4 linked regions of the Notamacropus eugenii genome follow. The protein of the gene in region 2 interacts with the protein of the main gene of each other region in a pairwise test. Links are inferred from orthologs where the notes say so. Each region holds a gene or a part of one and is shown on either strand. Other genes may lie near its edges.

Region 1 (6,463 bases), on a different chromosome or scaffold from region 2:
CCCATTTTTCTACCTAGGAAAAGAAGTTTAAATTAGTTCAGAAGCTCTAAGATCACAGTTCCTAAATGCTACAGTCAAGAATCAAACCCAGGTGTTCTCTGAACCAAAGTTCCTCAGAGTTCTTTCCTCCACTTACTATGCTTTTGACTAGCATTTTATTTTACTGATGAATATCTCAAGTTAAAATATTTTAAATTTTAGGTGCAAATCACCAATGTGGGTAAGAACCTGAAGTCAATATGAGTATGTAGAAACTGACAAAGTCCGAGCCTGCCTCTAATTATTTATTGTAGGATGGCATGTGATTCAAGGAAATCAAGTATTTCTTGTTCCCTTCCTGTCCACAGGAAGTCCTGCAGAGAACCCCATTGATAAAATTTGTTGTCCTGCAGAAGAGATTTGTAAATGGATGGATCAAGGAAGGGTGGGTTGGCGTTGAGGCCAAAGCAAACAGGCTCATTGTGTGATCCTGACAAAATTTCCCACAGCTGTTTACTCAGTCCAACCCATCTCTCCCCAGTGTAAATAAAACCACAGTTGAGACCCATTTTTTAAAATTGGGATTCCAAGGTGGGAAAACCACCTCCCCCCAAGAAATCTGGCCTTTCTTCTCATTAGAGATCAAGCAGAAGGTTTCAATGAGCTGACTTAAATGAAGCCTACTACCAAATTAAATAGTAACATAATTACACGTTTAAAATATTATCAAAGCTAGCTATTCTCCTTCCTTAAAACCTCTCCCCCTCACATAGCTGTTCAAAAGTAAGGCACACTTGGCGCTGAGGGAACAGACTTGGTACCCACTCACGTCAGTGCCAGGACTGGAGTCAGGAGGACCTGAGTTCCAATTCAGGCCCTGATACTTGCTAGCCATGTGACCCTGGGCAAGTCATTGAACCTTGTTTGCCTCAGTTTTCTCCTCTGTAAAACTGAGCAGGAGAAGGGAATGGCAAACCACTACCATATCTTGGCTAAGGGAAACCCCGGTGGGGTTGGGGAGGAGACGCGATTGGATTGAAAGGACTCAATAACAGAATGCACTGGGGTCACTCAAGAACAAGGGCAAACTTAGCCCGTTTATTAAATAAGTGGGGAAAAAAGTGCTGCTGCTGCTACTGCTGCTGCTCTTCGGGAGGCGCCGCTTCTGAAAACGCAGGGGCCTCGCACAACGTCTCGGATCGGACCGGACCGGACCCGCGCCTACGCGTCCAGGTCGAAGTCGTCGCGCTCGTTGCTGTAGTTGAGCACGTGCCGCTTGATCTTGGACGAGTCCACCCAGGTGATGAAGTCCTCCATGGCGCGCGTGACCAGGCAGGCGGGGTCGGTGACCACGTGCGGGCCCACGCGCACGTGGCCCTGCTCCACGAAGGCGACGGCGGCGCGCAGGTGCTGCGCCATGCGCAGCTTGACCAGCACGACGGGCAGGCGGCGGCGGCAGAAGCTCGACGCCGTGACGTTATCGCAGAGCTCCAGCGACGACTGCGTGGGCACGAGCCCCATGGCGTACAGCTTGCCCAGCAGCGCGGCCGTGGCGCGCTCGCGGAAGGGGTCTCGCTCGGGCAGGTCGCGCAGGCGGCGCGCCATGTCGCGCACGGCGCGGCTCAGCCGGTTGTAGCGCGCGTAATCCTCGCGCCGCTGCACGCGGTAGCGCCGCAGCACGCGCAGCTCGTGCAGGTTGTGGTCGGTGGCCTCCCAGTTCAGGAAGTCCACCTTCTTCAGGAGCTTCTGCTCGTGGAACTTGAGCTTGCGCACCATGATGGCGGCGGCTGGTGCTGCTGCGGCGGCTGGTGGTGCTGCGTAGGAGCGAGAGAGAGAGAGAGAGAGAGCGACCGAGCGAGAGCTGCAGAGACGCAGAACTGCACACCCGCCGGCTCTGGGCAGAAGCTAAAGCACTTCCGAGTCAGGCCAGGAGGCGGGGCCGCGGCTGGCTCCCTCCTGGCCGTTGGCCGACGGGCAGCGTGGGACACGCCCCCGGCTCTGATTGGGCCAGAGAAAGTCAGGCTCGGCAGGCCTTTGGCTTCCACCCAAACAGCCTGCTTCCTGGTCCCTTAACGCGCCTGCGACTTGGGCTCCTTTGGAGAGGTTTAAGATGCTTGGCTCGGCCCAGGGGCTATCTCCCGGCCTTGGCTTTGGTTCCCTTCGTCCCCTTCGGTTTTTTTTTTTTTTAACTTTAAGCAACCAAGTCAAAAGAGCACTGATTGAACGCCTACTGTGTGCAGGCATCGTGCCGAGCCCTGGGGGTACAAAGAGACCAAAGACAGCTCCCGTTTAGTGTATGTTTTTAATACCGTGCCTAATGTACATATGTGCGTATATACCGGGCGGCTAGGTGGCTCCGAGGATGGGGGGGAGGGGAGGCGGGGCGTCAGGAGGTCCTGAGTTCAAATCCTGCTGCAAACACATACTAGCTGTGTGACCCTGGCCAAATCACTTCCCCCTGATTGCCCCAATTTCCTCATCTGTACCATGAGCTGGAGAAGGAAAGGACAAAACCTCTCGGGTATCTTGGCCGCGAAAACCCCAACGAGGGTCAGACTCTAAAGCAACTGAATCAACACACATATACAGTATAGAAATAACCGTAACGTTTGGGTGTGTCTGTACGCAACACTAGTCATTTTGCCCCTATCCTGCGCCCATGTCCTTGTCTCCTCTGGCAGATTTTGTTCCTGCACCTCCAGGGTCCAGCGCGGTGGCAAGCGCTTTATCAGTGCTCCCTGATGGACTGCGGTGTGTATGCGGCACTTTAATGTTTGCAGAGGACTTGATTTAGATGATCTCCGAATCTCACTGTACTCCTGCTGAGGCAAGCATTACAATCTTCCCTCTACCAAATGAAGTCCTCCTGGTCACGTGGCTAGTGAATATCAAGGGGCAGGGTGTGAACCCCTGGCTTCCTTTCCTCTAGCCAGGAGCTCACGTTGCCCATACTGGGTGGGAGGGGGTCAGAAGAGGGCTAGGCTGGTGGTGCCGGGAAAGTAGAGCGCTGCCGTCTATGAAATGGTAAAAGCCCACTTGTCAGACTTTTGGTCTCAAGATCCTTTTATAATCTTAAAAAATATTGAGGATATTTGTTTATGTGGGCTATCCCTATTGATATTTACTGTATTAGAAATGAAAACGTGTAAGTTTTATTATGAAAATTATTTTGACCTTGAGGACCCCCTGGAACGGTCTCTGGGACCCTCAAGGTACCACGGAGGACACTGAAAGCCACTGACCTAGAGGAAACTCAGCTACCAATCAGAGAGTGAATCATTTCTAATTAGTAGAACTAACCTTGTAACTGTGGTTTACTGTGGTTTATGGTCTTGGGGACCATAGCAAGCTGATTCTTGGCAAGGTTATTGGAATGGTTGTCCCTTTCCTTCTCCAGTGGATTAAGGCAGACAGAGGTTAAGTGTCTTGCCCAGCGTCACACAGCTAGTAAGTTGTCTAAGGTTACAATTGAACTCGGGTCTTTCTGACTCTAGATGCAACGCACTGAGCCACCCAGCTGCCTCGAACCCCTTACTACTAGATTATAAATTTCATGATGTCTTATCTCTGTTCTTCTCCCTCCTCTTCATTTTTTAGATGAAGAAACTGAGGCACACAATCTGCCTCCTTGGAAGGAGTACCTACACTGATGAGACCACAAATCCAATAAGGAATACAGTGTTTCTAAAGGTATTTCTAAAACGCATCATGTTGTCCAGCACACACACACACACACACACACACACACACATATACACACACACACACACACACACACACACATACACACACACACACACACACACACACACACACACACACACACACACACACACACACACACACACACACACACCCCCTTATCTCTTGTCTCACTATCCTGCCTCCCACTTCGCTTCTCCTCCCGGAGCACATTCCCCAGCAGTTTCTCTCTCCACCCAATGATGCAATCCATAAAAACAAAAAGGAGAAAAATGACCAAAAGTTAGCAGAGTAGGGAAAGTTCTATTTAAGTCAACAAATACTTATTGAAGGCTTGGCATTGGTAGCAGTGCTGGGTGGGGAGGGAGAGAAGGGAAAAGATAACCTAAGCTTAGTAAACACATTACATAGTGTAGGATCTAGTAATAACAAAGTTAGTTGAATTAATTAGAAAGGATTCACTTTTTGATCAGTAGTTTAGTAATTAGGGAGTCAGAAGCAGTATATGGTGTGATGGAAGGACATGGAGCATGGAGAGACCTGGGTTCAACTGTTCAATCAGGTGACCCTAGAGAAATCTGAGTCTCAGCTTCCTTATCAGGAAAAAGGTACTAATAATACTTCTACCAAGTAAGCACTTACAGGATTGTTGTAAGAACCAAATGAGTTACTATGTCTAAAATTTAAAGCATTACATACGAAGATCCAGCATTATTATTAAGGTAAATGTTGTGTACAAATAGGTATAAGGAGAGCCCAAAATAATACATGATAAGAACATAAAAAAGGGTGCAAAGTATTTTGTGAAGTCTGGTGAGGGGGAAGGTCATTATTAGTAATGGTCATTGGGGAGGTTTCCTGTAGGAAGTGGGATGTTGGTCTTGAAAGGATGAGCTGAAATTCACCAGGGGTGTGGGAGCTGGGGGAGGGGAGGATGTGAATATTCCAGGTATTGGGGATAACTGGAGTTGAGCAAAGAAGAGGAAAGTTATCTGTGTGACTGTCTATGGCTGGAGCTTCTCATGGCAAGAAGGGGGAGGGAATCACATGAAGAAGCTGAGGGGCAGAAAAGAGCTCCGGTCTTTGGTGAAAGTGCCCCGTAGCGTTGTAGAACCCCTCAGGACAAGGCCAGCATTGGCTTCTTAGTGGGGGATCGTTCTGGTGCAACCTGGAAGGAGCCGGTGTTTGTATCTGAGGGATTTGGGCACCTGTAGAGGGAGGGGGAGCAAGGGAAGCCAGTACTGAAGACAAATGTTCCCTCCTTCACCATTATACCCACTTCCCCCATGTGCCTGATCATAATAGGAAAATATATTTCTGGGAGATATGTAGAATCTTCAGTAATAAATATATTAATAATAACAGCTGGCATTTGTATAGCAGTTTAAGGTTTGCAGAGCTCTTTGTAAGTATTGTCTCATTTTATCCTCACAACAACTTTTATCCCCATTTTATAGATGGAGAAACTGAGGCACAGAGCCTTTCATTGACTTAGCCAGGGGCACACAGATTTGCGTTCAGGTCTTCCTGACTGATTCCAGGTGCAGTGTTCTAACCACTGGGAAGACCTAAAGAAGGACAGAACTGGAAGAGACCTTGAAGATGATTCAGATAAACTTTCTCATTTTACAAAGTAAGAAATTGGGGTCTGAAATGGGAAGATGGTTGTACCTCAACACCTTTTCTGTTCATTCCCTTCTCTCCACTTACATGAGCCACCACCTTGGTTCAGCACATTTTTCAGTCGTTTTTTCAGTTCTGTCTGACTCTGTGATCCCATTTGGAGTTTTCTTGGCAGAGATACTGGAGTGATTGACCATTTCCTTCTTCAACTCATTTTACAGATGAGGAAACCGAGGCAAATAGGGTTAAGTGACTTGTCCAGGGTCACACAGCTGGAGTATATCTGAGACCAGTTTGAATTTATGAAGATGAATCTTCTTAATTCCAGGGCTGGCACTCTATCCACTGTGCCCCCTAGCTGCCCCTCAGTAAGCCTTAATAAATCCTTGTTGAATTGAACTGAATTGAATTTAGGTCCTCATATACCTGGTCTACTACAACAATCTCTTAAATAGACCTCCAGGTTCTAGTCTCTCCCCTTTCTAATCCACCCATCCCATATTTCTTTCTAAATCTTTCTAAAGCACAAATTTGACCGTGCCACTCCCCTGCTCAGAAACCTTCTGTGGCTCCTTATTGCCTCAAGAATAAACTACAAATTCCTCAGCCTGGCATTTAATGCCCTTCACAATCTGGCTTCAGCTGCCTTCCCAGGTGTGTTGTACATTGCTCCCCTTTGCATATTCTGCATTCTAACCAAACTGACTTATTTGCTGTTACTTGAATTTGGTATTTCATCTCCTGCCTCCATGTCTTTGCACAGGCTGTTTCCCATACCTGGAATGTACTCTCTCATTATCTGACTGAGTGAATGAAAAAGCATTTATTAAATGCTTACAAAGTGCCAGGTATTATGCTAAGCTCTAGAGAAACAAATACAAAGTAAAATAGTCTCTGCCCTCAGAGAGTTTAGATTCTAATGGGTGGGAAAACAATAGAAATATGGGACTGGTAGGGAAAGAAGTACCTGTGGGCCACCCAGGAAGCTGAGCGTATCCAGAGGGCAGTCAGTTGACATGTCTTTTCTAGGAATAATGGCAATCTGGGAAGAAATGAAAAGGGGGTGGGGGTCATAAGGTAGCAGTAGGCTGGTGGACAGCCACAAGCCTGGAGCACCTACAGAATGTGATACGAAACATTGTCTGGTCTGCTGGTCTGG
Region 2 (8,204 bases):
TTATGGAGTTTGAACGTAAAACGTTTTCCACTGATACCCTCCCTTTTCAGTATAAAAATAAAGTCCCAAGAAGAACTAAAATGCTTAAATCAGGGTCCATTTGGAAATCACTTATTCCAAGAGTGTCCCATCAGAAACACCTGGCTCTATCTAATGACTATTTCAGCAGTGTTCCTAACACTATGAGTAAAACTAGGTACATGTACCCCAAATATTCAACAAATATTAAAATTCCCTAATGGAATTTGCACAGAAGGGAGAGGGTAATTTGGGGCATTGAGAAAGGAATAATAATTGAGAAGACAGTAACATCAAATCTCCTTTTTCTAACTTTCAGCAGTGACAGCTAATTTTTTAAAAGTCTCTTACTTGTTAAATCTGGATTACATTATGAATGCTACAAAACTGGAAGTGAGATGTGAAAAGCACCCATTCCCTCTCATATAGCTGAATACAATCATCACCACACCTCCCACTACCTCACTCACCTTTTGGGAGGTGAGACACCTGGTCACATGTTTCCCAGATACTGCCAGTTGATATTAGATACTCGTGTGATATGCTAAAGAGCAAAAACAATGAGGATATCAACAACTCAAATCCCTATCTCCTAAAAAGTATCCTTCCTGACTGACCCATCCTGATGCCCAAAAGAAAATTCACAGGGGTTTTCCTTCCTTCCCAGGCACTATGAGTCCCACAAAGTAACAACTAGAACTAGGTCATTACCATTGAGGTCGAGCTCTGACGATCACCTCTGCAAGCTGGGCCATCCCCTCCACTACATCCACAATGGTATCTCGAACCATTTTTCGTAATGTGATGCCTGCAACCAAAGCCAAATTTTAAGCATCCTAGAGGTCTTTCAGGGAGAAATCGTTTTCTTTGAGCAGATAGTCTATACGCTGCAGGGTAGCAGGCAGTACCTACACTTCACAAATGACCTGCCTTGTCCTTCCTACTGCTCATCAATCCCATTAATTTGTAGTTTTCTGACTAGAAAGGTAATAGTGTTCTGCCCAAAAGAGATCCGGCACAAGAATCCTGCTAGAGCTTTCACTCACTCATTCAAAAATTATATCTTGAATACTTAAGTATCTACGTGTGCAAAGCAGGTTACCTTGATCTTTGGGAAGCCAGTAGTATGTAGAAACCTCTGCCAACACAGCATTCTGGATACTTTCACAGAGTTTCCTGCAGTCCTACAAAAAACACAGATCCATTCCAAAATGAGGAAATTAAGAGTGACATGATGAAAAGCAACTGCCCTAGAGAACTTCATCATTATCTATCAAGCATTTACTGATCACCTACTCAATACTATCCAGGGTTTGGATACTGAACACCCATACACCCCAGTCAACAAAATATCTATTGTATGAAAGAGAAAGAGTTAACACTGTTTCAGGATGCTGAGAACCTACTCTGAATCACACACACCAAAATTTTGGACAGCCTACTTTTGGGGAATCCCAACTTAAACCAGAGGGTTACTAGAAGAGATCTAATACTCCTCACGTCTATTTTCCTACAGTGAGTCTTTCAGTGATCTCCTGCTCTTAATTCTATACGCACAAAATTAATTCAGTGCTATAATTCTTTCACTTTAGCACTCAGTTCATATTAAGCAATAAAAAAATATCAGACTAAAACACATTTCTTTCTCCTCTTCCCCATATGCTTAACACGTTGTGATTTCAGAACACAATTTTCGAGTCTATTTTGTTAAGTTCCTATAAATAAAGGGATTTAAGTTAAAAACGTTCCAGACTTCTAGAAGCTTATACATCCAAACAAATTATGATTAGAGAACAGGCACGCACACATAACACTGTAAACTATATGGAGACGTAGCATTAAAATCGACTGGAAACTAAATCCTACTTTTACTTTTCACCCTGGAGTGAAGAAAAACACTGAAATGAATATCCATATTTGCTATATAGATATCTACATAAAATGATGTTACACTGTTAATTCATGATGTCTCTAGGATTTTCCAAGTACGCTATAAAAATTTTAGAAAGAGGAAATTTTTGGGGGGAAAAACCCCACTATCATTATCCTGTATTTATGGTCTGCTTTTTATCCAGGGAACTCAGGCACTTTCCTATCCATCATTTCAACTTACTGCTGGCATGAAAGGGGCAGACTTGGACAAGTTCATCACTGCAGGTGAGGTGAAAGTGGAAAAAAACAGATATATCGAATCTTGATGTGTGTGTCCATGTGTACGTGTGTATATGTATATGCATACATACATACTTATAGACTACAGTCTATGCACAGACTTCCTTTCATGGAAACGAACAGCAGGGGAAGCTTGCGGATAACCTTACCCCACCTGGGGTACCTGGCTCGGTAGAAACCTGGGGGCTCAGCTGCCTTTGGTTCTAGACAAAAGCAGGGGAAGAGAAAAGGGGCGGCCCACGGGCCCGGGGCAAACCCACCTCGGGGGAAGGCAGGGGCGGTCTCGCGAAGGCCAGGCTCAGCTTCGTGGCTTCCTGGGACACGGCCAAGGCCCTCTGGCCTGGGGGAGGAAAGGCTCGATGGGGGAGGCGGCGGCGGGCGCCGAGAAGGGGCACGGGTCCGGGCTGGGCCGCGGCCCATATCCCCACCCTCCCGGGCCGCCGCCCCCGGCTCCGGTTGCCCTCCCGTCTCCCGGGCCGCGGTGTCCCGGCGCCCAGGAGGGAGCTGCGGACCCTCCCAAACGCCAGAGGCGGGCCTCACTCACCGAGCTGGTCCCAAAATCTGTGCGCATCGAACGCCTCCGCGGTCTTCCGGGCCTCGCCGTCTGCGGAGGGACGGGGCGGCTCGTGAGAGAAGGGAAAGAAGGGGCCCGGACTCCGGCCCCGGCCCCGGCCCCCGCCCCGGGCCCCTCCCGCCGCAGCCCAGGCCCTCACCCCGCACCCGCGGCAGTAAGGAGCGCAGCACCCCGATGAGCCTCCGCAGCTGCGCCACGGGCTCCTCCGGGCTCGGTCCCGCCGCCCCGAGATCCATCGCGCCGAGCTTCACAGCACCAGCAGCCGCTCAGTCGGCGCTCCCGTAAACCGCCTGCAACTTCCGGAACGGAAGCCCTAGACCTCAACTTCCGGCGCTCTCTGCCCGCTTCCGGCAACAGACTGAGGAGCCGGCTCCGCCTCCCGCTACCGGACGGTGGGCGTGTCTGAGGTGCCCGGTGACCAATGGGTGTTCTCCCTCCCCCTTGTCTCCGCCCCTCGACCGAGATAGAGCTCTGGACCGCAAACAGCTTATTCATTTATTTGATTAGTTTTAAACAGTCCCTCCAGTGGAGGCGGAGAGCCTAGAAAACCGGAAGTTCAATTAAACCATCTACAAGCCACGTGGGGCGGGCGCCGGGGTGGGCCCGACGCGGCCGGAAGGGCCTCGGGTCCGAGCCCCGCACCCCCGATCCCGCTCCCGGCCTCCCCCGGAAGGCGCCCTCCCGGTGCGGCATTTCCATTCCACAGTTCAGTTCATGGCTTTGCTTCCATGGGGTAAGCAGCAGAATCAGCAAGCACAGCATTAATCGGGGCCACGTTTGGAGACTCGCTCTGAGGGAACCAGCCCGCCGGCCGCCCCAGCCGCAGCGGGACCCGCCGCCCGGTCGGCCTCCGGAGGGCCGCGGCCGGGCAGGCCCACGCTCGGCCGCTCGCGGCGGCCTTTGGGTCACTGCCTGTCGGGGCCCTGGTGGCTTCGCAGCTCCACGGCGAAGGCTCTGAGCTCCCTGGGGCTCAGGGTCCAGGCCAGACGAACGAGGATGGGGGCCAGCAGCGCCAGCCAGCCGTACGTGGGGGAGAAGACGAGCGCCGTGGTGCCGTAGGCCTTCCAGAGCAGGACGCAGCAGCCCAGGTGGCAGAGGTAGAAGAGCCCCGCGAGCGCGTGGCCGGGCACGGCCTTGAGGTATCTGCCCCGCAGGTGAGTGGAGAAGGTGTGGCCCTGGCAGCGCAGCAGCAGCGTCCAGCACAGGTAGGCGGAGAGGGGTATGATCACTGTAAAGATCTGGAAAAGGAAACAAGGATTACCAGCGGTCTGGCGAACGGCCCCGGGCAGAGTCCGGCTTATCTCCCGGGAGTGTCACCGAGGACTGGACGGGCTGCCCCGCACGTGCCGCAGGCCTGGTGCCGGCCCAGACACTCACCAGGCCCGAGCGCTCCGTCAGCAGAGAGGATCAGGGTTGGTCACTTCGCCAATAAGAAAACTGCTTTTCTCTGTGAACTAGAAAATCCTTTCACACCAAATTCTGTTTTCATCATCACACGTTCATCATCTGAATTCTCACCAAGGCAACCAAACCCGCAGGATCTTCATTCTGACAGCAGCAGGGAACGTGCCCTGGGACTGAGAGGTTACGTGCCCACCACGTGCCCGGCACCATGCCAGGTTGGACATGCATAGGGAGGCAGCATTCTTGCCCTCCAGGAGTTTGCCAAGGGGAGAGACCTCATTTAGGAGAGGGCACCAGGGAGGCAGGTAGGGACTGTACAAGGTGGAGGTGAAAGGGAGGCCAGGCCACGTGGCCTTGAAGGTAGTGGTGGACCCCAAGGGTTTAAATCCCTCCTCAGATAGGCACCATTTCGGACCCTGAGCAATCCACTTAACCCCTCTTAGCTCTAGTTTTCTCATTTGTAAAATGTGGATAGTAAACAGAACCTCTCACGCAAGGTTGTTATGAGGGTCAAATGAGAGGATAGATGCCATTTACTATGAAAATGTCAGCTATTATAAGTTATGCAAGAGCTCAGTTAGGAGATAGAATGTTATGTGTAGCAGGAGTAGGGAACCTGTGGCCTCAAAGCCACATGTGGCCCTCTAGGTCCTCGAGTGCGGACCTTTGAAAACAGAATCTGGCCTCAAGGCCACTGGTTTCCCACCTCTGGTATAGAAGGCCAATTTCACCAGAACAGAAAATACTTAAGGGGAGTAATATGAAATATGAAATAAGATGGAAAAAAGGTGGGAGTCAGATTGTGGAGGATTTTAAATGCCAGGCTAAAGATGAAGACTTTATTAACTAGAGGGAGGCAGGAAAATATGATCTAATCTGTTCTATGAATATCAATATGGCAGCTGTATGTAGAGGTTGGATTGTAGAAGAGATGGGGGTGGGGTGGAATGAGGCAGGAAGAATAATTAGAGACTACTTTTACTAGTCTAAGAGGTAATATGGGTACAGATTGTATGAGTAGACAGAAATAGATGGATTTATGAAATAAGATTTAACTGATTGGGGCAACTAGGTGGTACAGTGGCACCAGGCATGGATTCAGGAAGACTCATCTTCCTGCGGTCAAATCTGGGCTCAGACACTTATTAGCTGTGTGACAAGTCACTTAGACTTGTTTGCCTCAGTTTCCTTATCTGTCAAATGAGCTGGAAAAGGAAATGGCAAACTACTCCAGTATCTTTGCCAAGAAAACCCCAGATGGAGGGATGAAGCCAAGATGGCGGAGTAAAAGCAGGGACTTGCTTGAACTATTCCTACAAAGCCCTCCAAATACCTGTTTTAAAAAAAATGACTTTAAACAAATTCTAGAGCTTTGGAACCCACAAAATGACAGAGAAAAACAAATCTCCAGACCAAGACCAGCTGGAAAGTCGACAGGAAGGGGGATGATAAAAGGGAGGGCAGACTGGGGGAAGGGGTAATCAGAATGCATAGCATTTGAGGTGGGGGGAGGGAAGAGATTGAGAGAAAATTTGGAACTCAAAATCATGTGGAAATGAATGTTGAAAACTAAAAATTAATAAACAAACAAACAACAAAAAAAGAAAACCCCAAATGGGGGTCACAAAGAGTCAGATATGACTGAAAAGCAACTGACTGGCTATGTGAACTGAGGAAGAAAAAAGGGTCAAGGATAGCTTCAGGCCTGAGAACTTCTAGGCTTGTTTTTGATGTCATTCAATGAAATAATACTTTAACGAGTAAAAATGTAATGAATTACTTTACATATTTCCCATGTACACACATCTATCTCCAAATAGCGTTGTGACTTAAATTTTCCATTTCACTGTAATGCCCCTTGGTCTCTCAGTCCCCTGGGTCACATTAAGGTAACATTTGTACATCTAAATGTTTTTATTTTCTCTTCATTCTTAGGTAATGGATGAGCTTAGGCATGGAAAAGGAAAGTACAGAAACTAAGAGGAGGAAGAGTTCCGTCTGCTTTCTGGATAATATTTCTGTATAAGCTTTATGTGTTGGTTGGTGTTTGCTTCAGCAACCTTCATTATTACCTTTAAGGTTCAAATATCTAGTGGCTCCTATTATCTAAGAACCACTAAAATGCCTTTTCTGGTTCAATATGCCCCATAAAGAGAATACAGAAAAGAGGAAGAGATAATGGGACTAAGGAACCAGTCATTCCCTATCTGAGGTGAATCCTTTCCTCCCTGGAGAGTATTTATCTTCAAAGACTTTCTTTATAGATGCATAACTTCTTTAATAATAATAGTGCTTCTAAAAGGAAGCCAAACTTTGAGTAACTAAAAAGTCAATAATAGTCCCAGAGAACAGATAGTGAAACATACCTCCCTCTGCAGGAGTACTTTAAAGGAAGAACAGAAAATTTGCATACATTGTTGGAGGTAGTCCCTGTACTGGGTTTGAGTTTTTGTATTTGGCCTTTGGGGTTTAGTTTTTTTTTTTGGCCTCAACTATTTCCCCTTGTTATAAGAGAGGTGTATTTTGTACTTGTATGGTAGAATACATCCAAAATTTTTAAAAAACAAAAGATAGTAATAAGATATTATTTTAAATAATAGTAAAAATAATTATATATCATAGATAGGTGCAGGTTTTTAGCACAACCATTATTATCCCAATGTAACTTATATCCCACAGATTTCCAAATAAAATTTAACTTTTGTAACTTTTCAATTTTAAAATATCAGTAAATTTTATTTCTTAACTTTTTTTCCCTTAAAAAAAGATCGTGAATATGTAGCAACTGCTTTTCATTGGTAGTGCTACTGGCCTAGATAAGGAAGCAATTTAGAGAAAATTAAAGTGTACTGTCAGAAGACCTGAGTTCAGATCCTACCTCAGGCACTTAACTAGCTATGTGACCCTGGGCAGGTCACTTAACTTCTGTCTGCCTTGGCTTCCTCAACTATAAAATGGGTATTATAATACCACCTAACTCAAAGGGTTGTTGCAAGGATCAAATGACATATTTGTGAAGATCACAGCATAGTGCCTGGCACATAGCAGATGCACAATGAATGCTCATCCTCCTTTCCCTTGCCCCAGTGCTCATGGCAAAGTTGTTTTTCTTGGCCAGCAAGGAGGGGGGGTAGAGGTGGGCAGGATTGTTTGACCAGGAGGAATCTCAGAACACACAGAATTGCGTGGTGGCAGTGCTACAGGAAGGGTGGGAGACCTGTACACAGATAGTTTCTCTTCAAGAACACCCCATGTTTGCCGAGCTCTTTGTGAGTTCAAAATCTGACATGTTTTGAGATTAGTACACTTGTGTAATAGATGAGGTGTTTTTTTTGCTTTTGTGAATATTCCTGTGTGTGATAAGTAAAATTTATGTTAAAGAAGATAATTTATTTTCTTTATCCACTATCTGTAATATCATAACATCAATAATTCTGGGGCACACCTAGCAAAATTTACAACAACAAATTCACAACAAAATTCACATACTTCGAGAAACATTGGATTACAACAATGTAGATGGAATCAACAACAACAAAGAAACTGAATACTCTGTAATTGTAATGAGCAAGCATGAAGAAATGAGAAAATATATCTCCCTTCTTTATGGAAGTGGAGGAGTATACACTGCTAGCAGCTGATATGTCAATTAGTTTTGGGGAAAATGATCCTTTTCCTCTTATTTTTTGTTTCTAGGTAAAGCCACTGGCTGGGCAGAGAAGAAAAGGAAATATTCAGAAATGAAGATGATAAAAACAAAAGATATCAATAAACATTTAAACACTTTTTAATGAAAACTTTAAAGAACTATGTGTGTCAACTATTATGACCATAATTTCACTTGCAGTCTAAAATTAAACTATGTGAATTGGTATTGTAAGATTCTACCAACTCCCCTCAACAGTAAAAGAACAAAGATTTTGCTTACACACACACACACACACACGCTTACACACACACGCACACACACACACACATACATACACACACACATACAAACACACTCCTATGCCCACATAATATCATCTTTTCCAGC
Region 3 (8,683 bases), on a different chromosome or scaffold from region 2:
CACTCTCAGAACAAGGCTCAGGGAGGGAGGAAGGAAGGATGACTGACAGCCTCTGCCTTGCTGAGGTGAGGTGAGGAGGGAGGAGAGTTGCTCTGGCCTCACCTTCAGGCCCTGCTCATCTTACCACTGTATCCCAATAAATCTCCTTGGGACACATAAGTTTTGTGGATTTTGTTTTCCCCTTTCCCCTCCTGCGTCACTCATTCCAAAAGGCATTTGCTGCACATGTTGGAATGGGAGATCTTGCCCAGTTCTCTGGTTCATTTTAAGGAGAATCTTGCAAACTCAAGGAAATTGCCCTGTCTCAGTATCTGTCCTCAATTGTGCCCATGGCTAGGGCAGAGGTTGGCAGTGCCTCATCTCCTTATTCTGAAGCCCAGGGCTTCAAGACTTACGACAAGGTCTTGGCTTGAACTGGTCTCGGGTGTAGGCCTCAGTGGCCTGGCAGACTTCAGCAGGGCGGAGATGGGGCCTTGGGGCCAAGATGGGAGGCAGACACAGGCTGTTGATTCGTTTGGGCATTGGCTTCTGGCTAGATACTGGGTTGCAGTAAGAGGGCAGCGCTTCGCCTCCTGGGGAGAGACCAGAACAGAAAGAAGTCCAAGACCCAGGTACCAGGAGTCCTGCCTATGGCCAGCCACTTCCTAGCCTACTCCCCTGAGCCTCAGTTTCCCTATCTGTTCAACAGAGATGATTGACTTCCAGTGGCAGATATGCACCAGTGTAAAGTCCTGTCCAGGTCAGCAGAGGAGATGAGGCTGGGGGCAGGAGGAGGATGTGGAGGAAGGGCCAGGGAGCCCAAGGAATGATCTCTACTAAGGGTTTAGGAAGGGAGAGCATCCAGATGGAAAGATATGCAAGAATGCCCCCTGCCCCGGGGCCTTTGCTATTCCCCAGAGCCTCCAGCTAGCAGGCAGCTCCAAGACCCAAGTCATGGGCTTTTGCAGGGAGTCCCTGGAAGTAACACCCTTCTGCCTTGTAGAGTTCATTAAACTATGCAACTCCTTAATGCATTTAAACTGATGTCCATCCTGTTTAACTGTGTCCCTCTACTAGTTTGGAAGCTCCCAGAGGGCAGAGCTATGTAGACGTCTTTATATCCTGCTTCTAGCACCTAGGTTGGGAGCTTCTTTGAGCATGCCCTCCATAACTGTGGGCTGGAAGAATCAGGGACCCAGTGTCACTGAGCTTGAGCAGAGGGAAGGGGGGGATTCACAGATACCAAAGACAGACATCTATCATGACAAGACCATGAAGGAGCCTGGCCATCAAAGTCTGGTAAGGAAGGATGTCAGAAGTAGCAACTTTGGAGACAGAGGACCCCAACTCAGATCCTGGCTTCTTACTGGGGCTGGAATGGATGCTCCCAGAGGTCCCAACTCTACATCTGTAATCCTGGTAGTGGCACAGGACAGGAAGCAAGGCCTAGTGGGGTAGTTTGGGATAGTAACAACTGACATCCTGACTGGGTGACCCTCTCTGTGATTTCAACAGCTCCCTAAGGTTGCAGAGGAAGTAGAGGGAGTGTCCTCACCTGAGAAGTCTATCAAAGAAATTACAGGTCCAGTCCCTGTAAGGCTAGGGCCTTAGGAATGGTCCAGGTAATTGGTACCAATTGGTAAAGAGGAAGAAGAGAGACCAAGGCTACAGCCTAGGCTGGAAAAATTTTACTGAAAAGGTGGGATATGGATAGTCTTAAATTGGATAAGGGAAGTGGTACAAAGACTTGGGAGGTGAAGAGGAATGTCCATGGAATGTAAGGGGAGCCTATTTGGCTGTGGAGGAGAATTCCCCAGAGGGGGGCAGTGGGAAAAAAGTTTGGACAGTCAGGTTCAGGCCAGATTGTGGAGAACTGTCTTGGAATGGAATGTGTCCCACAGAATTCCAGAGTTGGATGACTTCTGAGGTCCAGTCCCATCTTCTCTCCCTTTTCAAGTTAACCCTCCTGCAACATTCAACAGAGGACCCATCTCCCATTTTACTGAAAAAGTTAAGGCCAACAGAAGTGAGCACCCTCAAGATTGCTCTCCCAAATGTCTCAGTTCAACTAGGCCAGTGATTTTCATGGAAGGAAGATGGAATCTGCACCATCCTCCCCAAAAGACCAAGACTAGTTTATAGATATGGAAAATGAGCCATACACAGATGACACATTACATCCCAAAGGAATCTCTAGACACTATGGGAGAAGTGCCTAATCAGCTATACAGCCATTACTGTGCCATTCTAGTTAAGGCGTGAGGAGAGTGTTGAAAGGGCAGGAGGAGGATCAAGGCTTCAAATTACTTTTCATCGAATCCATGAGCTGTCGCTGCTGGAAGCTGGTGAGTTTGGACTCCTCCATCATCACTGCAAAACAAGCAGGTGATATAAGAGCCACTGGGCTTCTAGCCCTCCTGGGGCCCTGTCCTGATCAGCCCTTCCTTCAGGGCTGTCCCTCCACTGACCTTTCAGCAGCTGACAGGTTTCTGGGGTGTAGCTGGATTGCCGTGAGTGCCAGAAGCCAGTACCTTTGGCCACAGCTCCTGATTTCCCCTTTGCTGCCATGGCAAAACCCTACAGGTGGAAAAGAAAGGTTTTTAGGACTAGCCTTCCCAGAATGTTGAGAGCTGAAGGGGATCTCTTCTAAGAAACAGGCTTGGGGAGAAGGATGACTTGTTTAAAATGAGCCATTGAGCAGTGAAGAGATTTCAGGTCTGGTGATGGGTGGAAGCAGGTCTTGGGAGAGGGCAATGCCATTAGCAGGGTCATTCTACGGACGGATGTGTGGTTCTGCTCAGCCTCGGAGGGCAGTCTGACAAACAGGAGTCATGGGTGCAGATTTAGGCTTGACGTCTAACAATTAGAGCTATTCAAAAAGGAGAAGGGTTCCCTCTCGCTGGAAATAGAAGGCTGGAGGATCGGGTGGGAGGAGACCATGGTGTCATTGGTCTAGAATGGGAAGAAGTCTCCCCCAAACGTGGACTTCTTGAAGACCTCCAGGGACAGGGAGCTCGCTACTTCCTAGGGCAGAAATCGTCCTGAGCAGGACACAGGGATGGGGGATTCCTAGAGGGGGGCCGGGGGGTGGCCTCGGTGGTCAGGAGGTCCTTGCAACTCTGGGCTTCTTCTGACCCCGAGCAGTCCAGCCTCAGCTCTACCCAGGCCAGGCCTGATGGGAATCATCTCCTGCCCTCCGGGGACGCCCGAGCGGGGGGCTCAGGCTGCACCGGCGGCGACGAGGAGAGGCGATCGCTGCGGCCGGCCCTCGGCGACACAAAGGGCGGAACTCGCCCCCTGTGGTGCTGGGACGATCGCGACAGGCCGCCCTTGTCGGGGAGGTGCCACGTGACAAGCCCCCCGCGGCCACCCGCCCTGGGCTTCCCCTCTCCCCCAGGGACGGGCTCCGGACCGCTCCGCTCTCCCCAACGGGTCCATGGGGCTCCGAGCAGCGGCCGCCTCCGGCTACCATGGCAACGGCTGCGAAGGCCCCGCCCTCAGCCCGGTCCGAGCTTCCCGGGCCCCTGGTCCCGCCTACGCTGCCATGGCAACCGCCCAGGCTCTAGGCTCCCCTCCCTCGCTTCAGGCTCCGCCCCTTCACGAACATTCTGGGCCCCGCCCCTGGCATCTCCTATGCATGGCCTAGCCATCTCCCCTCAAGCCCCGCCCCTTCCCCCAGCGCTTCCGTATCCGCCTCCGGCTCCTCTAGGCCCCGCCTCCAGGTCCTCTGTTCTGGCTCTCCCTCCCCTCCTGGTTCGGCTATGTCACTGCACCGGATCGGTCTCGGTCTCCTCTTCCCAAGAGCTCCCCACTCTGCTTCCGTCTCCGCCTCTGGCTACCGGGGGAACCGCCGCGCGCCCTGCTCGGGGCTATCCGGCTCCTCTTTGCCATGACAACGGCAGGCCCACGCCCCTTTTTGGCGTCAGGCTCCACCCCCTGCCCTCTCTCTGCCCTTCTTCGCCCCAAGAGCTCGAGGTTCCGCCCCTTGGCCTATTACCGGAACTTGCTCATATGCTAAGGTCACCGCGCAGGCGCAGGGAATTCTGGTAGGGCCGGTCCGGAAGTGGGTGCTGGAAGTCGTGAGTTTGGTCTCAGTGGCGCGAGCCCGAGCAGTGCAGGAGGCCAGACCGGGTGGCTTGGGCTCGTCGGGTTCCGTGAAGAAGGTTCTGCTGGGAGACAGCTCTTCCTGGCCAAGGCGGCCACTGGGCCCGAGCCCAAGGCTCCGCAGGCATGTCTGACAACGAGGACAAGTGAGTGCGGAGAAGGGGCAGATAGAGCGGCCCGAGGATGGGGGGAGGGGAGGGGGATGGAAGGAGGGGGATGGAAGGGAGACTGAGAAATGGGGGCTCAGCATTGGAAGGTAGGATGAAAAGAGGTGCAATCACAGAGGCATTATGGCCTAGGGTCAGAAAAGCCTGGCTTCGCGTCTTGTCCCGGATCCTGACCCCTAGATGATCTTGGGCAGGTCTCCCCCCGCCCCCCCACCCGCATTAGCACTGGCCTGTGCCCCTCCGATGTTGGACTCCGTGGCTTCTGGTGTGAGGCCTCTTTTGTCTCCTCTTGTAGAATGAGGGCAAGGACCGTCTGGTCTCTGTCTCTGTCTTCTTAGGTGCCTGGCGCACACACCCTGGCAGGTACTGGAGGATAGTGATGTGCACTTGGGGTATGAGTCTAGCACCTTGAGGATCCTGAAGCCACATGGGGACAGATAAGGCCCGGGGGGGGGGGGGGGGGGGGGAGGGGGCGGTCACTTCATCCAGCTCCCTCTTTTTACAGTGGGAGCTTCTCCACCTCCAAATGCAGCCTTCTTTTCCACTGCCCCAGCAGATCCAGGCTAGAATTGGGGGAGATGGGGGAGGGTATTTGGCCCTCTCCGAGCACCCAGGTTCACTGGTGCTTTCTTCCTGTACAGTTACGATGGTGATGACTTTGATGACGTGGAGGAAGATGAGGGTCTAGATGACTTGGAGAATCCTGAGGAGGTCTGTACTTCTCCCATGGCTCTTACTGCCACAGCACAACTGAGGCCAGGGCTGGGTGCCAGTCACCTGGGTGCCAATCACCTGGGTGCAGAGCATAGTATCGTTCTAGTTCATGGCTCTTCTTCTCACCTGGAACCCTGGAACCACAAAGGTCACTGAGCATAGAGTGGAACAGCCCCCCCCCCCCCCCCCCCGCCTCCCCCCCCCCACTGTAAACCAGCAGCCCTGTGTGCAGACAAGCCAGCTGCAGGCTTTTCATGCCATCCTTTGTCCTTGGCTGCTGGGGCTCTCAGTCCCTTCTTGCAGGTGAAGCGTCGTGGAAGGGACAGATCTAGGACAGAGTTACTTTGGAAGACCAGCCTCTTCCCTGGTTTCGGGATGTGGCAGCTGGCCGGGGGTTTCACGACAAGAAGTACATTTCCATTTGACCAGTCTTGTGGCCATTCAGTAAAATTTTGGTCTGGAAGCCAAAATCTTTTTAAGCTTTTCTTCCTCCAAACTTGTCACCTCTGTGGTTTATTCCACTTGGAAAATGGACTGAGCCCTCTGTTGGGGGTATTCGAAGTCTTACTTCCCCATGATCTCTGGTTGAAGTTGCCAGGAGCCTCTAGGTCTGAGCCTTTGACCTTTTACACCCACAAGGAAATTTCCCACTCTCCTCTCCCTCTTTTCCTAGGAGGGCCAGGAGAATGTGGAGATCCTTCCCTCTGGGGAACGGCAGCAGGCAAACCAGAAAAGGATCACCACCCCTTACATGACCAAGTACGAGCGAGCCCGGGTCCTGGGCACCCGGGCCCTGCAGATTGCGTAAGTAGAAATCCCCCTTTCCCTACTCATCCCCCACCCCACTCCCACCCCATTGACATCTCAGTTCAACTGACATTAAGAGTACAGGAGCTAAAATGAGTTTGAGAGTCAGGAAGCCTTGGCTTCAAATGCATCCCTCGTGGCCCTTGTCCAGCCCTGTTGCTTCTAGCTATGCTGTCCTCTCGATGACAACTGAGCTGTTAATGGGTTGCAATCTGCCTTTGTCAGAGGACTTTCTCCACTAAGGAGATCTTAGGAAATTGACACAGAGTTGAAGTCCAAAGTTTTGTTGTTGTTTAGTTGTTTCAGTCATGTCTGACTCTTCATGACTCCATTTGGGGTTTTCTTAGCAAAGGTACTGGAGCGGTTTGTCATTTCCTTCTCCAGTTCATTTGACAGATGAGAAAACTGAGGCAGATAGGAAAGTGACTTGCCCAGGGTCACACAGCTAGTAAGTGTCTAAGGTTGTACTCAGCCCTATGTTCTGTCCACTGCACCACCAACTGCCAAAGTCACCTAGAAGTCAAAGGCCCAGGGCTCACTTTGACTTGAAGTAAGTCATTTCATTTCTCTGGTCTCAGCTTCCTCATATGTTAAATGAGACTGGACAAGGTGACCTGAAAGGCCCCTCCCAGCTCTGAGTCTTTGATTCAGGGACATGTGCCTTCATGTCTCTAGTGCCCAGCATAGTGCTTCCACCTGCTAGGCCTGCAGCCTTGAGGCCATGTACTAGGCATTTAACAAATGGTTATTGAGTGAAGGGTTAATGAATGAAAAAAGCCTATGGTCTAAGTGAAACAAGTACACAGAGAACTGGTATAAATGATATTAGTGCATAGTAGAGATGCAAGGAAAAACCAGGAGGATAAATTGGTTGAGGAAGAGATGGCTTTCCCCTGGAAGGTTTCATTGGGGCCTGGAAGGAAGGTACTTCCTAAGGCAGGGGCGAGATGAGAATGAGGAACAAAGGGAAGTCTGTCTTTGTCAGAACCTAAGTGGTAGGAATGAATGAACGAATCAGTGAGTGAGGCATTTCCTAAGCTCTTCCTTTGCACAAATCACTGCTAAGCACCAGAGACACAGAATAGTCCCCCGTGCCCTCCAGGAGTTCACATCTTTGTGGAGGAAACAACATGGAGGGAAGGTTTCAGCTGCCTGTCAGATGGACGCTTCCCATCGGCGGCAGCAGCAGCAGAGTAGATGCCAAGCCTGTTTTTTTGTGTCATTGCCTCTGACAAAATCATCAGTTATTGATGTTGAATGCTTTGACAGCCTCAGACAGAAAAGAACTGTCTTTTCTGGGTGTTACGGAAGTGCCTGGGCATTGTTCTTGGGCACGTTCTGTTTGGCCTTTCTGTCAACCGTTTGGATGAAGGTGTGATTGTCAGATGTGTAGGTGACGTGGTTCTGGGAGGGACGACAGACATGTGGCTGAGTCTAACAAGATCAGATGGAGAGAAATTAGTTTTAACCCCCCCGTGTGGGTTCAAAATTGTCAGCTGAGGACGTTCAGACAAGAAGGGTGTGACTAGACCACATCACTTGAAAATATCGGGGGGCAGGAATGCTAGTAATTTCATGAGCATTAACAGTGTGATGATGTGGCTGCCAGAAGAGCCCAGAGGATTTGAGGATCTATCGAGGGAGGCGTAGCAGTCAGCCCAGGGGAGCAGATGGGGAGCAGATGAGCAGCCTCTGCCCAGGCCTGGTCCCATCTACAGGGTTGGTTTTGTGCTGAGGCTACGTTTTAGGAAGAATCTGACATCCTAGTGCTTCTTCAGCAGGTGCAGGACGGTCTGGTTGAAGGAACAGGGGCAAGGAAAACTTGGCGTAGGGGGAGGTATGTGATGCCTGTCCTCTGGTATCTGAAGAACCGATAGGGAGGAGGGGCCAGCTTCTCTGGGCTCAGAGGGCAGAAGGAAGAGTAAAAGAGATAGAGAGGCAGATTTTGACTTGATAAAATGATGCAACAGTGTGTGGGAGGTAGAGCACTGGAGGGTTCTCTGTGGGGTTTTGAACTGCTCCTGTGACTTTTGGGGCCCTTTAGACCTCTGTCAAATCAAGGGTCGGATGAGGGTCAGACTTCAGGGAACCTCTGGGGCCAGTTGCTCCATTTACGGAGGTGGTTCATCCCAAAGACTTGGCCAAGGTGACATGGGTAGTAATTGTTAGGCAGGATTCACACCCAAGTCCTCTGACTCATGAGCCCATAAAGCTGCATTTGTGCTTTCTGTGGAGGGAGAATTTTCTGTAGCAGTTTGATCCATCCCCAATAGAGGAGCCTGCCTTGGAGATACCGGGGTCTCCATTATAGGAGAATGCAGGTAGAGGCTCAGGTTACACTGGAAGACCTGCATTTCCCTCCATCTCTGAGATTGTCTGACATGCATGTGAAAGTAGGACTCTGAGCTGGGAAGGGTGGCATAGGCTTTGAGGCCTTCCTGTTAGTCAGGACTCTTCCTTTAAGGCCATTCTTGTGGACTTTCTAGGCTCCTTGAAGCCAGGACTTCAGTCCTAGATGCCTCTGTGTCCTGTCAGGCATCCAGCACGGGGCCCTTCTCAGGGAGAGTTCAAAAAGAGATCAATTGATCGATTGATGTTCTTGGCCATGGACTGAGCAAACTCAGTTTAAACTGACATTTAACTTGGGAATCAAAGTAGAAACAGGAGAATTATCCATGGGTTTGCTCCTTACCCCTTATTGAGGTTAACGGCTGCCTTGGAAGGGGTTTGGGCTGGTGGGCATGGGCTGCCGGCTCCAGCCTCGCCACCTGGCGGTCACTGCCAAGTAGGACAAATCAGCTCCTTCTCTAGCCTCGTGGTGTGCCACCTGGTGGTCACTGCCCTATGCTGCAGGCACTGTTAGGCCTTGGAGCTAGAAGTGAGCTTAGAGATCATTTCATTGTACCCTGTTG
Region 4 (8,635 bases), on a different chromosome or scaffold from region 2:
ATTCATGGCCCAGCTTAAAAGAGATTTCTGTATTTTTAAAGGCACTCTCAGTCCGGATGGTTATAATATCACCCTTCATGCTGATGATCACAGTGGGTTTGGCCAAATTTCCCAATTTTCTGGTGGCTAATCCCACCCCTAAAAATCAGACAGGGTTAGAATCATACTGTCAGAAAGAATACTTGCTCTTTCAAAAGAGAAGGCTTTTAATCACATGCTCTACTCTTTTGTGAATGTTTCCATGGTGTCACAGGTATAGATTGGACATAAATCATAACATTATCAAGGAAGAAATCTTCCTGTCAATATTTTATCTCCTGAAGGGAAACTATTTTTGTGGGTTTTTTTCTGTCGCTTCAGTGAAATCCAATTTTCAGGATTGAATTGAGCTTCCAGAAACCTTGTATACGAAGAGAAGACCACTTGGCTTCAGAACCCTTACAGATAAAAATAAATACAATTTGCTAGAATAAATAAGTAGCATTTTAACTTTTAAACAATTCTAGGCTCTGTTCACGTTAATTACTGTTCTTCACTGCACTGAGACAGCTTTATACCCTCTGTGGGAATTAGAAATGCCCAAAGAGAGAAAAAATGTGTGATAAACCCAGGTAAAGAAACCAGTGCTAAACGCTATTGCTTGGATTATATCATTAACTATTTCACTGATTCAGCAACCATTTAGTGTCTACTGTGTACAAAGCACTGACTCTAATAAAAAATATAGGAATCAAAAGCACTGAGGTACATGGAGATGGATAAAGTTAACCAAATTCAAAAGAATGTCATATGGAAGAGAAGTGGAGTGCTAGATTGGATATCAGGCAGATGTGAGTTTAAATCCATGAACATGGACGTGAGATGCTCTGAACCTCAGTTCTTTTATGTTTAAAATGAGGATAATAATACATATATCACCCACCTACTATGATTATTACAAAGATCAAGTGCAATAATGTATACAAGTGCTTTGTAAACCTTAAAGAACCATATAAATATAATTTATTATTATTTTTACTGATATTAATTAGTATGTTTCATGATATCTAGGGTTACATGAAAGGACAATCAAGAAATTTTAAAAAACTCATTACTAGGGTATAAAAATCTAAGATTACAAAATGATCTTAATGAACAACAAAGGTAGGAAAAACCAGAATGACATTCAGAAGGGGCAGAGACAAGAACTATTTGTCTGGAGGAAGAGATGGCTTAATATAGGTTAGGGACCCAGATGTTAGAGCCAGAGAGGATTTGAGACATCTTCTTTTCTAACCCTTTCATTTCACTGGTGAGGAAATTGAGACTCAGGGCCACTCAGTAACCAGAGCAGAACACACAGCTAATCTTAGAAGCTGTTAGAACTGATGAATTTTTTTTTCAAGAGAGAGATTATAATAATAGAATAGAAGACCAAGGACTGAATTAGGGGAGAATCATACAGTTAAGGGATAAGAAGAGGAAGAAGACTGAAAGAAGATACAGTCAGAAAGGCAAGAAAACCAGAGTTAGAACCTTTTTTTTTGATTATTTCATATATTTGTTTAATATCTCTTGTTTTCTAAAAATGAAGGAAGGAAGGAAAACAGGAGGGAAGGAAGGAAGGAAGGAAGAAAAATAGGAAAGGTAAAAAAAAAGTATTAATTGCACACTTACTTCTTGACAAACATCTTGCTAAGTGATTCAAAGATAAAAGCAAAGGTAGCCCCTGAAGACAACACATGAGGGAATCAGGGTCAGAGTAGGATACTTTGGTCCTTTATAAAGTTACTGGGATAGTTAGTAGGGATATTAGAGCTATGTCTTACAAAAGTTCACTATAAGATTTAGTAAAGTAAATCTTGATTTCACATTGATTTCTATTATAAAATTGAAGATTCATGGCCACAGAAAAGTTTATGAAGAAGTGTTTCAGAGGTGGCCCATGCTGTGTCAAGATGGCCATTTTTGAATTCAAGCTACACTATACTCACTGGAGTTAACAGCTGACCTCTATGTTGAATAATGTTTTTAAGCACCCTGAGACTCCTATAGCTACCATTCATGACCTTGTCATCATTGCTCATAATCTACCTGTATCAACATTTTCCCCAGACCAGTAGATTGGGTACCCTCAAGACTTACATAATAAAGCTTTACATAGTAAAGCAAAAAAATATCTTTCAGTATTTGTAAATTTATACTGAAGTGAACAGTGACCAATAGATTTTCATCTATGAAGCAGAGAGAGACTAAATGATCCTTAGAGTCCCTTTCAGCTGTAAATTTATGATCCTATGAAGCAACTGGATTTGAGATTAGAAGTTAAAAAAAACCTTCCTAGAGGAAGTGTGTTAGCCAATGCATAATGAATAAAAACCTGATTTTTACTTATTGTTTTATCCCAAGTGAGAAATCTACACAGGTCAGATAGTCTGTCATTGATTAGAGTCAATGAAGACCGATTCACTGCTCCTGTAGCATTGTCTTCTCCTATACCCTCATCTCCTATGTCCTTACTTCCTCTTACCTCTTTCTTCTCCCACTCTGGAATTAGCGGACCAAAGGAAGCCTCAGTTTGCTCAGACAATGATGTGGAATTCAGTGGTGGGGACAAAGAGAAGTAGTCTCTGTTAGGGACTGGCAAGAATCAAGCAAAATTCCCCTGTGCAAACAGTTTCATTACTGAATAAGAAGGAGTTGACAAAAATCAAATCTAATTCAGTGAACATGCTATGCCTAGATAAATATCAGACTTCAATTTGGGACATTCTATATTCTGTTCCATTTTTTCTCTTCTGGAGTATCTTGGTCCCTAGAAATCCAAGTGATAAATGAGAATAGAAGATAAGTACATTGACAAAGCTTCTAAAAGTCTCCTCTTCATTTTTAGAATTTTGAAATAAAAGAAAAAAGAACCACATCAAGAAACCATTATTACAATAATTTATATTTTCCACTTCATCATCAGCCCAACTCCCCCCCGCACACACACACACACACACACACACACACACACACACACACATCCAACTTCTCTCAGAGAATAAGCAGGTGGATGATTTTCTCCTCAAGCAGAAGTTTTTTTGTTTTTTTTAAATTTTTCCTCACCTAGAGCTTTCATGTAATCCTCAAAGTTTTCACTGGAGACCAGTTTCCAGGTGCCCACAAATCTGTTACACATGATGTTGGACCTGCTGGGCACTAAATGGTGACCTTAGCCAAAGAAAGGCAGTCACAGTCCCCTGTGAGAGGCAGGATGGCATGAACTGCAGCAGCTTCAATGGCATCTTTTCAAAGATGCTCTGGACATGTGACTACTACCAGCATCCAATGGGGAAAGGCAACGTCAGGGCCAAGTGATGAAAGGCCTCCACTTCATAGCATTGCTCATTCATTCATTTGGCACAAAAGAGAAGCCCACCCACAATCTCATTTTTCTCCAGAAATGGGTTTGCTTTAATTTTTTTCAAATAAAAAAGCCACCTAAGTTCTTTAAAAAAAGGAAATGAAAAGAAAAAACAAAAAGACTTTGGTTGGGCCCACATTTAAATTTTATTATCTGACCCTTAATAGTTTAGAAAAACCATACTATTCCACAAGTCCAGTTCAAGGTCAGGGCATGCAAATATTAGAGAGGGAGAGGATAAGTGAGATTCTCTTTGGAGGCATCCTAAGGACACCAGATGCCAACTCCCCACATTCAAGAATTTGGTACAAAGGAAGAAAGAGAAATCCGAGTCTTTTTACATTATGATAACTCTACCCCTCACCAAAATATGCTGTGGCAGAGAAAGGTTAGGAAGTACTATAAGGATTATTCATTAGGGAAGGAGGGAGTTGTTGACATAACTCACATTTTCTAGGCAGGCAGAGTGGGCGGTAAGTATAATATACCAGCTATGTTCCCATATAGGACAAAGAAACAGGCCTAAGACAAGGTCTAGCTAGCACAAAGATTTTCATTCTCAGGAAAACCAGCGCATTTGATCACATACCTTGCAGCTTCCTACAGAACTTTGCTTCATTTATATTCTCCACAAGCTATTAAATCAGGAGTGAAGGAAAAAAATGGGTAGGCTACTACTAAGTTTCAAGGTGGATAAAGGGGGTTATGGGAGCTCACATCAGATGGCTTCAGTTTCAAATAGGAGTCTGGGTGATTTACCATGAATAGCAGGTGGGAGCAGTGGGTCAAGGGTTTGAGGATGATTATGTTTTCAATAAGTGGGGATAATAATAGTAATGACTAGAATTTATATAACCCTTTAAGGTCTGCAAAGGGTTTACAGAGAGTGTGAACATCATGTGAAAAGAACAGTATGAACAAAAGTGCGAGGGTAAGAGAGTATAAGGTGTGCTTGGAAGGTAAACTCAAAACTTAGAAATAGTATGCTGTAATGGAAAAAGCCCAGTCAAGAGACCTGAGTGCAAATCCTGTAAACTTCCTGGATTTTAGTTAAATCATCAGCAACACAATTATATTCTCCTCGAAGAATTCTAAGTCTTTTATGAACACTTACCTGACTATACCAGGTCTTCGACCTCCTTTCCCAGTTTATAATACCCAAATTCTAATAACATATCCTGCCTCACCTTGGACTGAGAATCACAGTAGACCAGGACTGGAGAGTATTTTTGAGATCATTTACAGATGAGCAAACAGAAACCTGGAGACTTGCCCATAGTCACACAGCTATTGAGTACAGGAGGAAGAAGGGACTAGGAAGCACCTGTTCCCATTCTGTTGCCCGGGTTGCCTGGCACCAAATGGGCCAGCCAGCAGTACCCTCCCATAGAGGCAATTGGGCAACAGACTCTCTTCCTCTCGTGGGATTCAAGCCCAGTTGACTTGACTTCATGTTCAGTGCTCTCTCTCCTGTTACACCATTCAGTCACTAAACTTTAGGTATTAAAAAGTTGGATTTATTCATATTTTACACAACCTCAATCTTCTCTTGGAGAAATAGTTCCTTTTACCTACATTGGAGTACTAAAAATAATTCAGCCCATAAAAGTAATGTTTTACTGTTCTCTCATTTCTGTTCTCTCAACAAAAGTTTCTTCCTATGAAGCTGTTAAACTGTGAAAAACAATGGTCTATTACCTAGTTTATGGTTTTTGACAACGTGCCATCTCTCCTACTGTATTATAATGCTCTTGAGAGCACAAACTTCATCTCCTACATGGCTGCTTGAGTGGAAGGAGAGGAGGGGGAAAGAAAGTGAGCTACTTGTTTCTGGGGGTCTCCAGGTACAGAATAACTAGGATAATAGTTCTAAAGGGGCCATCTTATTCAACTCCTCATTTTACTAACTTGTCAGGAATTTTGTAGACAGGATTCATGATTAGGGTATGAATGGGAGTCAAGGCCCTCAGAGGCCTCTTCCAACTCTAAGGTTCTATGAATGCTTCTTTGTACCACCTCACAGGACACAGGATAGTGCTTTGCAAACATGGCAGTAGGCAGTCAATTCTGTAATTGTTGAAAGAATGAAACAATAAACCAAAGACTGAAATAAACAGTTATTCTTTTATAGTAAATCAAAGAAAAGTTGCTGACTCTCAGCAAAGGCTTCCACAGAGGTTGGTGGTGGTTGGGCCACAGACCCATAGAGGGTCCCCCAGTGTAACACATAAGCTAGTTAGGCTAAACACTTAGAAATCACATTTGCCCCAGAAAGCAGCGCATTTCTCTGAAATGGAGAATACTAACTGAATTTTACAATTAAGACTCTTAGTCATTAAAAAAGACCTTCTAATTGAAATTCTTTACTTGGAATTGTGTTGGCTTCTTAAAAGTGTTTTCAGACAATCATGGATGTTAGATGGAAAGAAAAAGAAATTAAAGAAAGAATTTCAGAAATTCATTTTTCTGTACCAAGAGAATAAAAAGTACTCTTCTTATTTCAGTGTGGGATAGCAGAAAGAGCCAGTCCTGGGATGAGAATAACTTGGATTCAAGTCCTCATTCAGATGTATCTGACTGTCACTTAACCTTTCAATGACTCCATGAAATACAACTTTCTAATAACGTAAGTTGTAGAACAGTTACTGATCTGAATTGACAGAGGAAGTTTCCTCCCTTTGGAGTTCTGTAAATCAATTAAATAATGGTCCAGAAAAAAGAAAAAAAAATCTTTGCAGTCAAGCAGGATCTAAATATTGTATCTGTGCTATGGCCATAACACTTGATTCAGCTGCCAGGATTCCTAACTAAACCTATAATCCCAAGATACTGCCTTCTCTTTATCCTCATAGTCTGAAAGTACCTTTTTTTCTTTAGCGTTCACTTTACGGACTTGGGCTAACCAGTGAGAAGCTGAAGGCATTTTTCCAGTGATTCATAGGAAAATAATAAAGGAACAATCATCTATGGAAACCAACCTTAACCTTGATTCTAATTTCATATGAACCATAATAAATTCCAAAATCTCCTTTGACATGTGACATCATGGGAATTTGCTTACTCTAAAGGATCAAGTGATCTGAATCTGACCATTCTAATAGATTGATAATCTATATCAAGAATCTCAAAGTGAACTTTATAGAGGCTTTGGAGGGTGTGGGGAGGTGGAGAGGAAAAAAGCACCACGTAATCACAGATATTGGTATTGCAAATGTATTCGTGATCTTATTCATATATTTTCCTCCCTGCCATGAGTTCAGATTGCCACTCATCCATACATTCTTATAAGAGGGAGCCGTTGTAACGTATTGGTTGGGGGAGGAGGCGTCAAATGATCAGGTCTACACATCAGGAAAATAACTTTGGCAAGCAGGTAGAGGAAAAACTGAAATGGGGAAGTGGGGAGAGAGCATGGTGATGCTTGAGGCAGGGGACAAATTAGGAGACTATTACAATAGTCTCAGTGTGAGGTGATAAAGGCCTGGATTAGAGCAGTGGCTATGTGAGTAGAGAGAAATGAAAATAATCTGATGCATGTTATCCAAAAATAAACCTCATGATCTGGTAACTGCTTGTATACGTAGAAGGAATGAGAGTGAGTAGTTGAGGATAATAGCCAAGGTTGTGAACCTGAATTAGTGAAACTTTGATCATATTCTTGGCTGTCATGGGGAAGTTTGGAAGAAAGGTAGGTGCAATTTTGGACCAGTTGAATTTTAGATGCTTTTAAGGACATTAGTTGGAAATTCTAGGGCTAGATATAAGGACCTGGGAATCGTCTTCATAGTGATGATAATTAAAATCATGGGAACTGAGACAGTCACCAACTGAGAGAAAAGATAAAGAGTCTAGGACAATCCTTCAGGGACATCTGCAATTAAGAGCACAATATGGAGGAGGAGTCAGGAAAGGAGACTGAAAGAGGCAATTGTTAAATTTTCGGTGTGAGTATTTTATACCTTAGAAATTGGTAAATGGTACAAATGAGAGATTGATTTATTGTTTTGTTGATTGTGACTTAAAGTAATATTAGTGAAAATGTTAATAATGCAGATAAAACTTAAAAGCGTGTGGTCCATACATGTGGACATTCCCCACCCTGCAAAGAGCCTATCATTAAACATTCACCAGAACAACATTACTTTTATGACACTCTTTGCACATATATCAATATTAGTGAATATGCTGGAGACTACTTACACCCACCATGTATTTTCACACACCCTTGTGTGTAGCTTGCATTTTGATTCATTTGAGATTGTGGTGTTTATTATTCACAACTATATAGTAAAAGCCAAAGAATACTGGCATTAAAAATGTGTCTTGGCAACAGGAATTAGCTTGGCATCATTGCTAGTACTACACTAATGCACTGTTGGTGGAACTGTGAATTTGTCTAGCCATTCTGGAAAGCAATCTGGAATTATGTACAAAGTCATTAAGCAGTTGCTTACCCTACTAGGGTACATATCGGTAGGCCTATACCCCTAAAAAGATGAAAGAAAGAAGGAAAGGATTAATGTGTACATAAATAATTATAGCAGCTAAGAATTAGAAACTGAGAGGAATGTCCATCAGTTGGGGAGTAGACAAACAAGTTGTGGTATATGAATGTGATGGAACACTATTGCATTAAAAGAAATAATGAAGGGGTAAGTTTCAGAAAAAGCTGAAAAGACTTGTATGAACTGAGGCAGAGTTAAGGGAATTGAACCAGGGGAAATTTTCTACAATAACAACTCAGTTGTAAAAGCAAACAACTTTCAAAGATTTAGGAACTCTGATTAATACGATGTTTAACCAAGATTCCAAAGGCCTCGTGAACTCACAATGAAACATATCACCTACTTCCTGTCACAGAGACGATAGACTTAGGGTGCAGAATGGGGCATATATTTTTTGGAATATGGCCAATGTGACAATTTGTTTTGTTTGAGTACGCATCTTTGTTATAAGCCCCTACCACCACCACCACTACCACCACCAATGAGAAGAGAATATGGAAGAGAAAGTTGTTTTCTTGTTAAATGAAAAAGAAAGTTTAAGATCTGTAGAGTTTCCTGATTGTGAACCACCTCATTATCCTATCTAGTTCTGGACCCTTTCCTGTCTAATTTATATGTGCTAACATGCTAATTCAATATATTGCCATCCAACTAAGCAATAATTAGGGTAACATGTACCTTTATCTAACTGACTTTTCCTGCAGAGTTGCCATGCCAATTATTTTTAGTGCTGGTATATCTC

The links.
Region 1: the proteins of CCNDBP1 (region 2) and IMP3 interact in binary tests that used the Homo sapiens proteins (3 or more experiments, as listed by UniProt). The two-hybrid records come from large-scale screens. The link is inferred for Notamacropus eugenii from reciprocal best matches to the Homo sapiens genes CCNDBP1 and IMP3.
Region 3: the proteins of CCNDBP1 (region 2) and C3H22orf23 interact in binary tests that used the Homo sapiens proteins (3 or more experiments, as listed by UniProt). The two-hybrid records come from large-scale screens. The link is inferred for Notamacropus eugenii from reciprocal best matches to the Homo sapiens genes CCNDBP1 and C22orf23.
Region 4: the proteins of CCNDBP1 (region 2) and myelin P2 protein interact in binary tests that used the Homo sapiens proteins (3 or more experiments, as listed by UniProt). The two-hybrid records come from large-scale screens. The link is inferred for Notamacropus eugenii from reciprocal best matches to the Homo sapiens genes CCNDBP1 and PMP2.

Annotation. Positions count from the first base shown.
Region 1 is NC_092872.1:240,231,717-240,238,179, reverse strand, and holds IMP3 (U3 small nucleolar ribonucleoprotein protein IMP3), read right to left. Parts: upstream 1,919-6,463; 5' UTR 1,756-1,918; coding exon 1,201-1,755; 3' UTR 1,047-1,200; downstream 1-1,046. UniProt on the Homo sapiens protein: Component of the 60-80S U3 small nucleolar ribonucleoprotein (U3 snoRNP). Required for the early cleavages during pre-18S ribosomal RNA processing. Part of the small subunit (SSU) processome, first precursor of the small eukaryotic ribosomal subunit.
Region 2 is NC_092878.1:29,699,568-29,707,771, reverse strand, and holds the start of CCNDBP1 (cyclin-D1-binding protein 1), read right to left. Parts: upstream 3,260-8,204; coding exon 2,911-3,259; coding exon of another isoform or gene 2,904-2,910; intron 2,795-2,903; coding exon 2,735-2,794; intron 2,531-2,734; coding exon 2,451-2,530; intron 1,203-2,450; coding exon 1,121-1,202; intron 827-1,120; coding exon 730-826; intron 563-729; coding exon 489-562; intron 1-488. Other genes in the region: TMEM62 (transmembrane protein 62), read right to left, coding at 3,670-4,002. UniProt on the Homo sapiens protein: May negatively regulate cell cycle progression. May act at least in part via inhibition of the cyclin-D1/CDK4 complex, thereby preventing phosphorylation of RB1 and blocking E2F-dependent transcription.
Region 3 is NC_092874.1:295,435,037-295,443,719, forward strand, and holds the start of C3H22orf23 (UPF0193 protein EVG1), read right to left. Parts: upstream 3,502-8,683; 5' UTR 3,452-3,501; coding exon 3,392-3,451; exon of another isoform or gene 3,166-3,391; coding exon of another isoform or gene 3,115-3,165; intron 2,557-3,114; coding exon 2,448-2,556; intron 2,350-2,447; coding exon 2,287-2,349; intron 573-2,286; coding exon 396-572; intron 1-395. Other genes in the region: POLR2F (DNA-directed RNA polymerases I, II, and III subunit RPABC2), read left to right, coding at 4,210-4,229, 4,892-4,961, 5,638-5,768.
Region 4 is NC_092875.1:304,999,974-305,008,608, forward strand, and holds the start of myelin P2 protein, read right to left. Parts: upstream 3,262-8,635; 5' UTR 3,164-3,261; coding exon 3,091-3,163; intron 139-3,090; coding exon 1-138.